2 linked regions of the Arabidopsis thaliana genome follow. The protein of the gene in region 1 interacts with the protein of each later gene in a pairwise test. Each region holds a gene or a part of one and is shown in the gene's direction. Other genes may lie near its edges.

Evidence for each region.
Region 2: the proteins of UBQ10 (region 1) and ATCRT1 interact in a two-hybrid assay, tested with the Arabidopsis thaliana proteins (one study listed by BioGRID).

The regions. Positions count from the first base shown.
Region 1 is NC_003075.7:2,715,919-2,721,019, forward strand, and holds UBQ10 (polyubiquitin 10), read left to right. Parts: upstream 1-2,058; 5' UTR 2,059-2,336; intron 2,337-2,624; exon of another isoform or gene 2,625-2,640; coding exon 2,641-4,014; 3' UTR 4,015-4,390; downstream 4,391-5,101. Other genes in the region: AT4G05310 (Ubiquitin-like superfamily protein), read left to right, coding at 1-94; AGD13 (ARF-GAP domain 13), read right to left, coding at 4,854-5,101. UniProt on the Arabidopsis thaliana protein: Ubiquitin exists either covalently attached to another protein, or free (unanchored).
Region 2 is NC_003076.8:22,815,535-22,820,427, forward strand, and holds ATCRT1 (RING/U-box superfamily protein), read left to right. Parts: upstream 1-1,945; 5' UTR 1,946-2,223; intron 2,224-2,686; 5' UTR 2,687-2,719; coding exon 2,720-3,910; 3' UTR 3,911-4,196; downstream 4,197-4,893. Other genes in the region: ACA8 (alpha carbonic anhydrase 8), read left to right, coding at 241-294, 518-628; AT5G56350 (Pyruvate kinase family protein), read right to left, coding at 4,720-4,893.

The DNA.
Region 1 (5,101 bases):
AGTTTATATGGTTAGTGGACGTGATACACATTTTGCCTCGTCTTTTACTCGTGGCTCTAAAGTCACAATGCTTTGTGCTCAAAAAGTTCTGTAGAAAGTCTGTATATATGACACAGAAGAAACCAAAAACTATGATACATTCAGCAACAGAAAGTTATGTGGATCTTTAACTCTTTGCTAATAGGTTTTAATCTTTCTTCAAGTTTTCTTCTGGCCCTTAAGTCACAATGCTTTGAAATTTTTGAGTATATGTAGATACATAGAAGAAACAAAACTATGATACATTTAGTAACAGAAATTTATGTGGATTTTATCCTATTTGTAGGTGTAACTCTTTTCTTCTAGGTTTTAATATTTTTCTTCAAGTAAACTTGTTGTTATTGAATTCCCTTTAGTCGAAAGCAGCGATCAAGCTTCTCTTATAAGTTACAAACCCTAATTTCAGCAAACACAACTTGGAAACACTAGCAGCAACAACTTTGTTATTTTAAAACATTAGCAAAAGAAATCTCATTGCAACATCAAATGGCAAAACTGGAAGGTAAAAAAAGCAGAACTTATCAAACAAGACTACCAATATGATGAACTGATGATTTTTTTTTTTTTTTTTTTGGCTCAACAACAAACTTTCCATTCACCCATTTATGGATACACAGTCTAGCTCAACAGAGCTTTTAACCCAAATTGGTACAATAGAATACAACTTTAGATCATAATTCTCAAAAGAAAGAGATTCCTTAGCTATTCTATCTGCCACTCCATTTCCTTCTCGGCTTGTATGCACAAGCATAAAATCCTCAAACTTGCTAAGTAGATACTTTATGTCTTGGATAATTGGATTGAGACTTGACAAGCATAACTTTCATGTAACCAAAGACACAAGTTGCTGAGAATCCACCTCAAAAATGATCTTCCTATAATTGAATCGGGATAATGACAGCACAGCCCATCTAAGAGCCTCCACTTCTACTTCCAGCACGCTTCTTACTTTTACCACAGCTCTTGCACCTAACCATAACACCTTCCCTGTATGATCGCGAAGCACCCACCCTAAGCCACATTTTAATCCTTCTGTTGGCCATGCCCCATCAAAGTTGCACTTAACCCAAGATTGTGGTGGAGCTTCCCATGTTTCTCGTCTGTCCCGACGGTGTTGTGGTTGGTGCTTTCCTTACATTCTGAGCCTCTTTCCTTCTAATCCACTCATCTGCATCTTCTTGTGTCCTTACTAATACCTCATTGGTTCCAAATTCCCTCCCTTTAAGCACCAGCTCGTTTCTGTTCTTCCACAGCCTCCCAAGTATCCAAGGGACTAAAGCCTCCACATTCTTCAGATCAGGATATTCTTGTTTAAGATGTTGAACTCTATGGAGGTTTGTATGAACTGATGATCTAGGACCGGATAAGTTCCCTTCTTCATAGCGAACTTATTCAAAGAATGTTTTGTGTATCATTCTTGTTACATTGTTATTAATGAAAAAATATTATTGGTCATTGGACTGAACACGAGTGTTAAATATGGACCAGGCCCCAAATAAGATCCATTGATATATGAATTAAATAACAAGAATAAATCGAGTCACCAAACCACTTGCCTTTTTTAACGAGACTTGTTCACCAACTTGATACAAAAGTCATTATCCTATGCAAATCAATAATCATACAAAAATATCCAATAACACTAAAAAATTAAAAGAAATGGATAATTTCACAATATGTTATACGATAAAGAAGTTACTTTTCCAAGAAATTCACTGATTTTATAAGCCCACTTGCATTAGATAAATGGCAAAAAAAAACAAAAAGGAAAAGAAATAAAGCACGAAGAATTCTAGAAAATACGAAATACGCTTCAATGCAGTGGGACCCACGGTTCAATTATTGCCAATTTTCAGCTCCACCGTATATTTAAAAAATAAAACGATAATGCTAAAAAAATATAAATCGTAACGATCGTTAAATCTCAACGGCTGGATCTTATGACGACCGTTAGAAATTGTGGTTGTCGACGAGTCAGTAATAAACGGCGTCAAAGTGGTTGCAGCCGGCACACACGAGTCGTGTTTATCAACTCAAAGCACAAATACTTTTCCTCAACCTAAAAATAAGGCAATTAGCCAAAAACAACTTTGCGTGTAAACAACGCTCAATACACGTGTCATTTTATTATTAGCTATTGCTTCACCGCCTTAGCTTTCTCGTGACCTAGTCGTCCTCGTCTTTTCTTCTTCTTCTTCTATAAAACAATACCCAAAGAGCTCTTCTTCTTCACAATTCAGATTTCAATTTCTCAAAATCTTAAAAACTTTCTCTCAATTCTCTCTACCGTGATCAAGGTAAATTTCTGTGTTCCTTATTCTCTCAAAATCTTCGATTTTGTTTTCGTTCGATCCCAATTTCGTATATGTTCTTTGGTTTAGATTCTGTTAATCTTAGATCGAAGACGATTTTCTGGGTTTGATCGTTAGATATCATCTTAATTCTCGATTAGGGTTTCATAGATATCATCCGATTTGTTCAAATAATTTGAGTTTTGTCGAATAATTACTCTTCGATTTGTGATTTCTATCTAGATCTGGTGTTAGTTTCTAGTTTGTGCGATCGAATTTGTCGATTAATCTGAGTTTTTCTGATTAACAGATGCAGATCTTTGTTAAGACTCTCACCGGAAAGACAATCACCCTCGAGGTGGAAAGCTCCGACACCATCGACAACGTTAAGGCCAAGATCCAGGATAAGGAGGGCATTCCTCCGGATCAGCAGAGGCTTATTTTCGCCGGCAAGCAGCTAGAGGATGGCCGTACGTTGGCTGATTACAATATCCAGAAGGAATCCACCCTCCACTTGGTCCTCAGGCTCCGTGGTGGTATGCAGATTTTCGTTAAAACCCTAACGGGAAAGACGATTACTCTTGAGGTGGAGAGTTCTGACACCATCGACAACGTCAAGGCCAAGATCCAAGACAAAGAGGGTATTCCTCCGGACCAGCAGAGGCTGATCTTCGCCGGAAAGCAGTTGGAGGATGGCAGAACTCTTGCTGACTACAATATCCAGAAGGAGTCCACCCTTCATCTTGTTCTCAGGCTCCGTGGTGGTATGCAGATTTTCGTTAAGACGTTGACTGGGAAAACTATCACTTTGGAGGTGGAGAGTTCTGACACCATTGATAACGTGAAAGCCAAGATCCAAGACAAAGAGGGTATTCCTCCGGACCAGCAGAGATTGATCTTCGCCGGAAAACAACTTGAAGATGGCAGAACTTTGGCCGACTACAACATTCAGAAGGAGTCCACACTCCACTTGGTCTTGCGTCTGCGTGGAGGTATGCAGATCTTCGTGAAGACTCTCACCGGAAAGACCATCACTTTGGAGGTGGAGAGTTCTGACACCATTGATAACGTGAAAGCCAAGATCCAGGACAAAGAGGGTATCCCACCGGACCAGCAGAGATTGATCTTCGCCGGAAAGCAACTTGAAGATGGAAGAACTTTGGCTGACTACAACATTCAGAAGGAGTCCACACTTCACTTGGTCTTGCGTCTGCGTGGAGGTATGCAGATCTTCGTGAAGACTCTCACCGGAAAGACTATCACTTTGGAGGTAGAGAGCTCTGACACCATTGACAACGTGAAGGCCAAGATCCAGGATAAGGAAGGAATCCCTCCGGACCAGCAGAGGTTGATCTTTGCCGGAAAACAATTGGAGGATGGTCGTACTTTGGCGGATTACAACATCCAGAAGGAGTCGACCCTTCACTTGGTGTTGCGTCTGCGTGGAGGTATGCAGATCTTCGTCAAGACTTTGACCGGAAAGACCATCACCCTTGAAGTGGAAAGCTCCGACACCATTGACAACGTCAAGGCCAAGATCCAGGACAAGGAAGGTATTCCTCCGGACCAGCAGCGTCTCATCTTCGCTGGAAAGCAGCTTGAGGATGGACGTACTTTGGCCGACTACAACATCCAGAAGGAGTCTACTCTTCACTTGGTCCTGCGTCTTCGTGGTGGTTTCTAAATCTCGTCTCTGTTATGCTTAAGAAGTTCAATGTTTCGTTTCATGTAAAACTTTGGTGGTTTGTGTTTTGGGGCCTTGTATAATCCCTGATGAATAAGTGTTCTACTATGTTTCCGTTCCTGTTATCTCTTTCTTTCTAATGACAAGTCGAACTTCTTCTTTATCATCGCTTCGTTTTTATTATCTGTGCTTCTTTTGTTTAATACGCCTGCAAAGTGACTCGACTCTGTTTAGTGCAGTTCTGCGAAACTTGTAAATAGTCCAATTGTTGGCCTCTAGTAATAGATGTAGCGAAAGTGTTGAGCTGTTGGGTTCTAAGGATGGCTTGAACATGTTAATCTTTTAGGTTCTGAGTATGATGAACATTCGTTGTTGCTAAGAAATGCCTGTAATGTCCCACAAATGTAGAAAATGGTTCGTACCTTTGTCCAAGCATTGATATGTCTGATGAGAGGAAACTGCAAGATACTGAGCTTGGTTTAACGAAGGAGAGGCAGTTTCTTCCTTCCAAAGCATTTCATTTGACAATGCCTTGATCATCTTAAGTAGAGTTTCTGTTGTGGAAAGTTTGAAACTTTGAAGAAACGACTCTCAAGTAAATTGATGATCACAAGTGAAAGTGTATGTTACATAAGTGGATATTTCACCCTTTTTCCATCAATCAAAACATCATATAGTAATCCATTGGTTTATACAAACATCAAAATACATTTACCTCTGAAATGAGGAAAAAAATGCAAAGAGATTTTTGAAAATTTCCAACAAATGGAGAGAAAAAAAAAAAACAAAGAATTAAATCAATCAGTACATTTATAAAGGTTATGAGACCTATATGACACTTATTGGTCAAGTGGCAGCCATTCCATTTCTAGCTCTAATTCTCCAGACTCTACATTCTGAAGCTTGATCTGAACCTCCTGTTTCACTTTCCCATCAACAATGTTAATGATACTGTCATCTATTAATGGGTTATCATGCGATTTTAGCCATTTCCCAATCTGCATATCCCCAAACATTTCTGGATCCCCAAAAGCCATTGCAGATGTTATCAAAGGTTGTATATCAATATCTGCTTCTCCCATTATGT
Region 2 (4,893 bases), on another chromosome or scaffold:
CTCAGTTTTGAATAAAAACATTATTATAGATATTCCGGATCACTTACTGCTCCTCCATGTTCTGAAAATGTTATTTGGTCCGTTTCCAAAGAGGTAACTATTAATTATTTTCAATCCCGTCCATTTGGTTTATATATATATAGCTATATAGTTTTTCATTTCAATCTATGATTATGTTATTTTAAATAAATTACCTAGTTAATTAATATAGCAATGTCTTATGTTGTAATAAACTTTCAGATTCGCACTGTGTCAAGTAAACAAGTGAAGCTTCTCCGTGTGGCTGTACACGATGTAAGTTTCTTTCTTCTTTTTCTGATTTATTATACAGTATAACAATATTAGCAAACTATCATATTAATACTTATATAAATATCTGAATTGCATATTTCTCAAGATATGAGTCTGTAGAGCATAGATGAGACTACTTATGGTCTATATAATATTCAAGATAAGACCATCATGTTTTATCATCCAATTGATTTCTTACTTTTCAGTTTTTGAAAATATTTTACAGGCTTCAGATTCAAATGCCAGGCCGCTTCAAGCAGTCAATAAGCGCAAGGTATATTTATACAAACCAAAGGTTAAGTTAATGAAGAAATACTGTAATATAAGTTCTTACTAGTAATCTTTAATTCTTTATATATGTACATTATGAATTGTACACTAAAATGATGTTTTTAGGGATAAACTGATGACTTGGTTTTGTTATTTAAAAATAGTCTCCCACTCGTGTTATATAAAATGGTTTTTATGTTACTTATTTATAAGCAAACCCTCTTTACCTAAAGAAGGGTATGAAACAACACAGTCTCAATTTCAATTCTCTTGGTAAGTGCTAACTATTAGTGTTATGTTAGGGATCAAATTAGTTTCAATTCTCTCAGATTCAGTTTATGTGGTAGTAGGGCACATAAGTTAATGAGCGCATGAAAAAACCGAGAATTGATCACACAAAATTTCTAGCTCATACATCTTCATTAGCCTTTTGTTTAGAGCAATCCTCTTCTGTCTAAACAGTGAAGATGTGAAGTCATGTGTAGAAACCACCATTATTTAAAGACGAGTCAAAATTTATTGGAAATTTTTCACAAACGAAGCTAAAACTACAAAAAAAGAAAAAAAATCAGACTTACCTCGGCTCTAAAACTTTACCAGTACCATATTCGGGATGGTGAACCACAACCGCGCTGGAATGAACCAAGTTCAATTTTATCGAGTCTTGAAACTCTCGAATGGATACAATATTATGGAACAAAAGAAGAGAAACAAGTAGCTGCATTCATCTTAAGAAACGCAAATTTTTCGAAGAAGCAACTTTCTCATCTAAACCCACCGATCATAACAAGAAATCTAAGATGCTTAAAAAGTTGTCATCATCGCCTATCTGTTCTCGTACTTGTCAGCTTCTATTTCTTTGAAACTATGGTCAATATGTCAAGTAACAATCATCTTTGTTTGGTTGGTGCATGTATGATTTTGAAATCTTAGTTAAGCTATTGGGAGACGTTATCATGTTGAAAACTATTCAAGTCCTGATATTTATCGTATCATAAAATAGTGTGTAAACACATTATTGAAGAATGTAACTAACGGATATATATACACTCAATCTGAAAATAAAGTTCACGCGTCTTTAATTTTCTTTAATCTAAGAAGTCAACATCAAACGAATATTTACATATAATTTACATAGAAGAAGATACTACTTGATATTCTCAATGCAACTAGAATATACATACAACTAGTCAATATAATAAAACCAAACAAGTAGTTATGAAAACTCGATTAAACGAAGACCACAGGCGTTGAATCAGCTACTGGTAGATTAGTAATAAATAAACCTCAAAATTAGTGAAGGAAGCAAAATAAAAGACTATAATTAACAAAAAGTCTTAAAACTTGATTAATAATTAAATGAAAGATTAATAAAATGCTAATTAAGAAAAGGACATAAAGTAAGAGGAAACAAGGAACGAGTTGGGGGGTTAGAAGAGGACGTGGTTGGGTTGTTTTCTTTTGTTTTGTTTCCTTCCACTCTTTCTTCTTCTTCATTTCCTCTTTCTTTCTTCTTCCTTCTCCATTTTTTCTCTAATCGTTGGACAAAAAAGATTGAGCCTTTTTCTGGGTTTTATTTTCTATAAAGGAATCGAAAGAAGCAAGGACAGATTTTAAAAAAAAAATCTTGGGTTTTCAAGAAAAAGTAGAGACATTTTAAAGGTATGATTTTTATGTTTGTTGTGGGCATGTAAATTTCTGGGTTTATCTTTGTCTCATGTATTGTGTTTCTTTATTTGAGAAAATTTATGACAAAGGAAGAAAACAAAAAGCTAGAAATTTGATTCCTTTTTAAGGGTTTTGTTTTCTCTCTTTGATCTTTTACAAGATTCTGGGTTCTTCAGATGTTTTTCTCCTTTTCTGGGTTTAATTCTTTTTGGGTTTTATCCAAATTTATGTAAAAATCTTGACTTTTTCCTCTCCTTTTTCAAAAGATGTTCTTGTCTGAATTTGATTGGTCAAAATCATTTAATTTGGATTATTAATGACAAAATCTACCCATTTAGATTGATACTTGTATAAAAGTTATAACCTTTGAGGGTCTTAGATCTGAAATTTAAAACCAAATTGGTAGATGATAAACAAAATTTCTAGGGTTTCATTGTGTGTTCTTCTTGTTTTGCAGAATCAATAGATTTGTGGGGGTGAAGTAAGGAACATGGAGGAAACAATGGCAGCTAGGTATTGGTGTCACATGTGTTCACAAATGGTGAATCCAGTAATGGAATCTGAGATCAAATGTCCCTTTTGCCAAAGCGGATTCATCGAAGAAATGAGCGGTAATGGCGGTGGAGGTGGTGGCAGAGGCATAAGAGATGTTCAAGATTCAGAAACCGATTTTGGAACAGACCGTGCATTGTCTCTATGGGCACCAATCTTGCTTGGAATGATGAGTAGTCCTCGAAGACGAAGAAGGTTTAGAAGATCAGAGTTTGGTGAAGAGAATGATGATAATGGTGATGACTTGACTACTAATGCTGATGGGAATGGGAATGATAGTAACAACAGTAATAATAACGTGTATCGTCATCATCGAGCTAGGAGACATGGTGGAGAGATTGATTTAGATAGAGAGTTTGAATCTATCTTGAGGAGAAGACGAAGAAGCTCAGGGAATATATTGCAGTTGCTTCAAGGGATTCGTGCAGGGATTGCTTCTGAGTATGAAAGCTCTGATAACAATTGGGATAATTCTCGAGAGAGGGATAGAGTTATAATGATTAATCCGTATAACCAATCGCTAGTTGTTCCTTCGGATCAGAATCAGAATCATCCTTCATTGACTTCACTTGGAGATTACTTCATTGGACCTGGTTTAGATCTTTTGCTTCAGCATTTGGCTGAGAATGATCCTAATAGGCAAGGGACTCCACCTGCTCGTAAAGAAGCTGTTGAAGCTTTACCAACGGTTAAGATAATGGAACCTTTGCAATGTTCTGTTTGTTTGGATGATTTTGAGAAAGGTACGGAAGCTAAAGAGATGCCTTGTAAGCATAAGTTTCATGTTCGGTGTATTGTTCCCTGGCTTGAGCTTCATAGTTCTTGTCCTGTGTGTCGTTTTGAGCTTCCTTCTAGTGCTGATGATGATGATGAGACTAAGACTGATTCCGAGAGAGTGCTGAGAACAAGAAATGTTCGGGAAACGAGTAACGGAAACGTTGTTGAGAATGTGGGAAATGCGGATAGAGGAAGAGAGGATGAGGTGAGGAGTGGAAATGGGAGACGGTTTTCGTTTCCATGGCCGTTTAGTGGATTGTTCTCGTCTTCTTCTTCTTCGTCTTCTTCAACCTCTGGATCTCAATCTGGTGAGAACAATTTCTTCTCAAGATCTTCTGGTTCTTCTCGCTGAGAGCAAAACAATCAAAAACTAAAACATCTTGGATTTTGTTATTGTTCTTCATCTTTTGTTGTTCTCTCATTTTTCTAGCTATTGAACTTGTTATTTCCTCTGCATTTCATTCTCTGCTTTACTGTACATAGAAATGATGTTCTTTCACTCAGACTGTTGAAAAACAAATATCCATTGTTGGTGTACAGAGATGATCAAATTTCAGTTTCCATTGTTTTAGTTTTCAAGTATGAAATTATCTGTCAATCGAGTCCAAATAATGACGAAATATATACAATGATTCAATCTTTCATGTTTTTGTACAGAGATGATCAAATTATGTGTGTCCATTATCTTTGTTTTTAAATATGAAAATTATATTTTCAGATGAATCCCAAATAATGATGGGAATTTTACAAAAATGGAGATAATGATGAGTCTTTGTCGGAATGATTTTTGTATGGGACGATTCATGCGCTGTCTTCTTTTTTGTCTTTCATGTCCCTGTCATTGTAAGATTATAAGAACATGAAACATAAACATATTTTCACCATTGTATTGGCGTATACATAAGAAATACTTGAGAAACAAAAAGAAATCATGATAATTGATACGTGTATGAATGATCCAATAGGTTTCAATACAACCAAAATATCCCAAAAGGAGCTGTTAAGTGGATTCACCGGTCACAGTAGTTGTGGTAATAAGCAAAAAATAGAACTTGAGTTTTCTATCTCAAGATTTTAATCACAATCTTGAATAGTTTCATAATAAAACGTTTAAAGTAGCGTTCCCCAAACGCCAAAAACGTGAATTTTTGAGTGGAATCATCACTTGACGGTCAAGATCTTGATCACGGAAGCATTACCGACTCGGAGTAGAGCAACAACGGAATCTCCAGTCTTGCATAGCTCTTTCTCTTTCCCGTACTGAGTAGCAAACTCGATAGCTTCTTCTGTTGATTCATCGTGTGAGGCTCTTGCGGATCCAGCGTAGAGCACTGG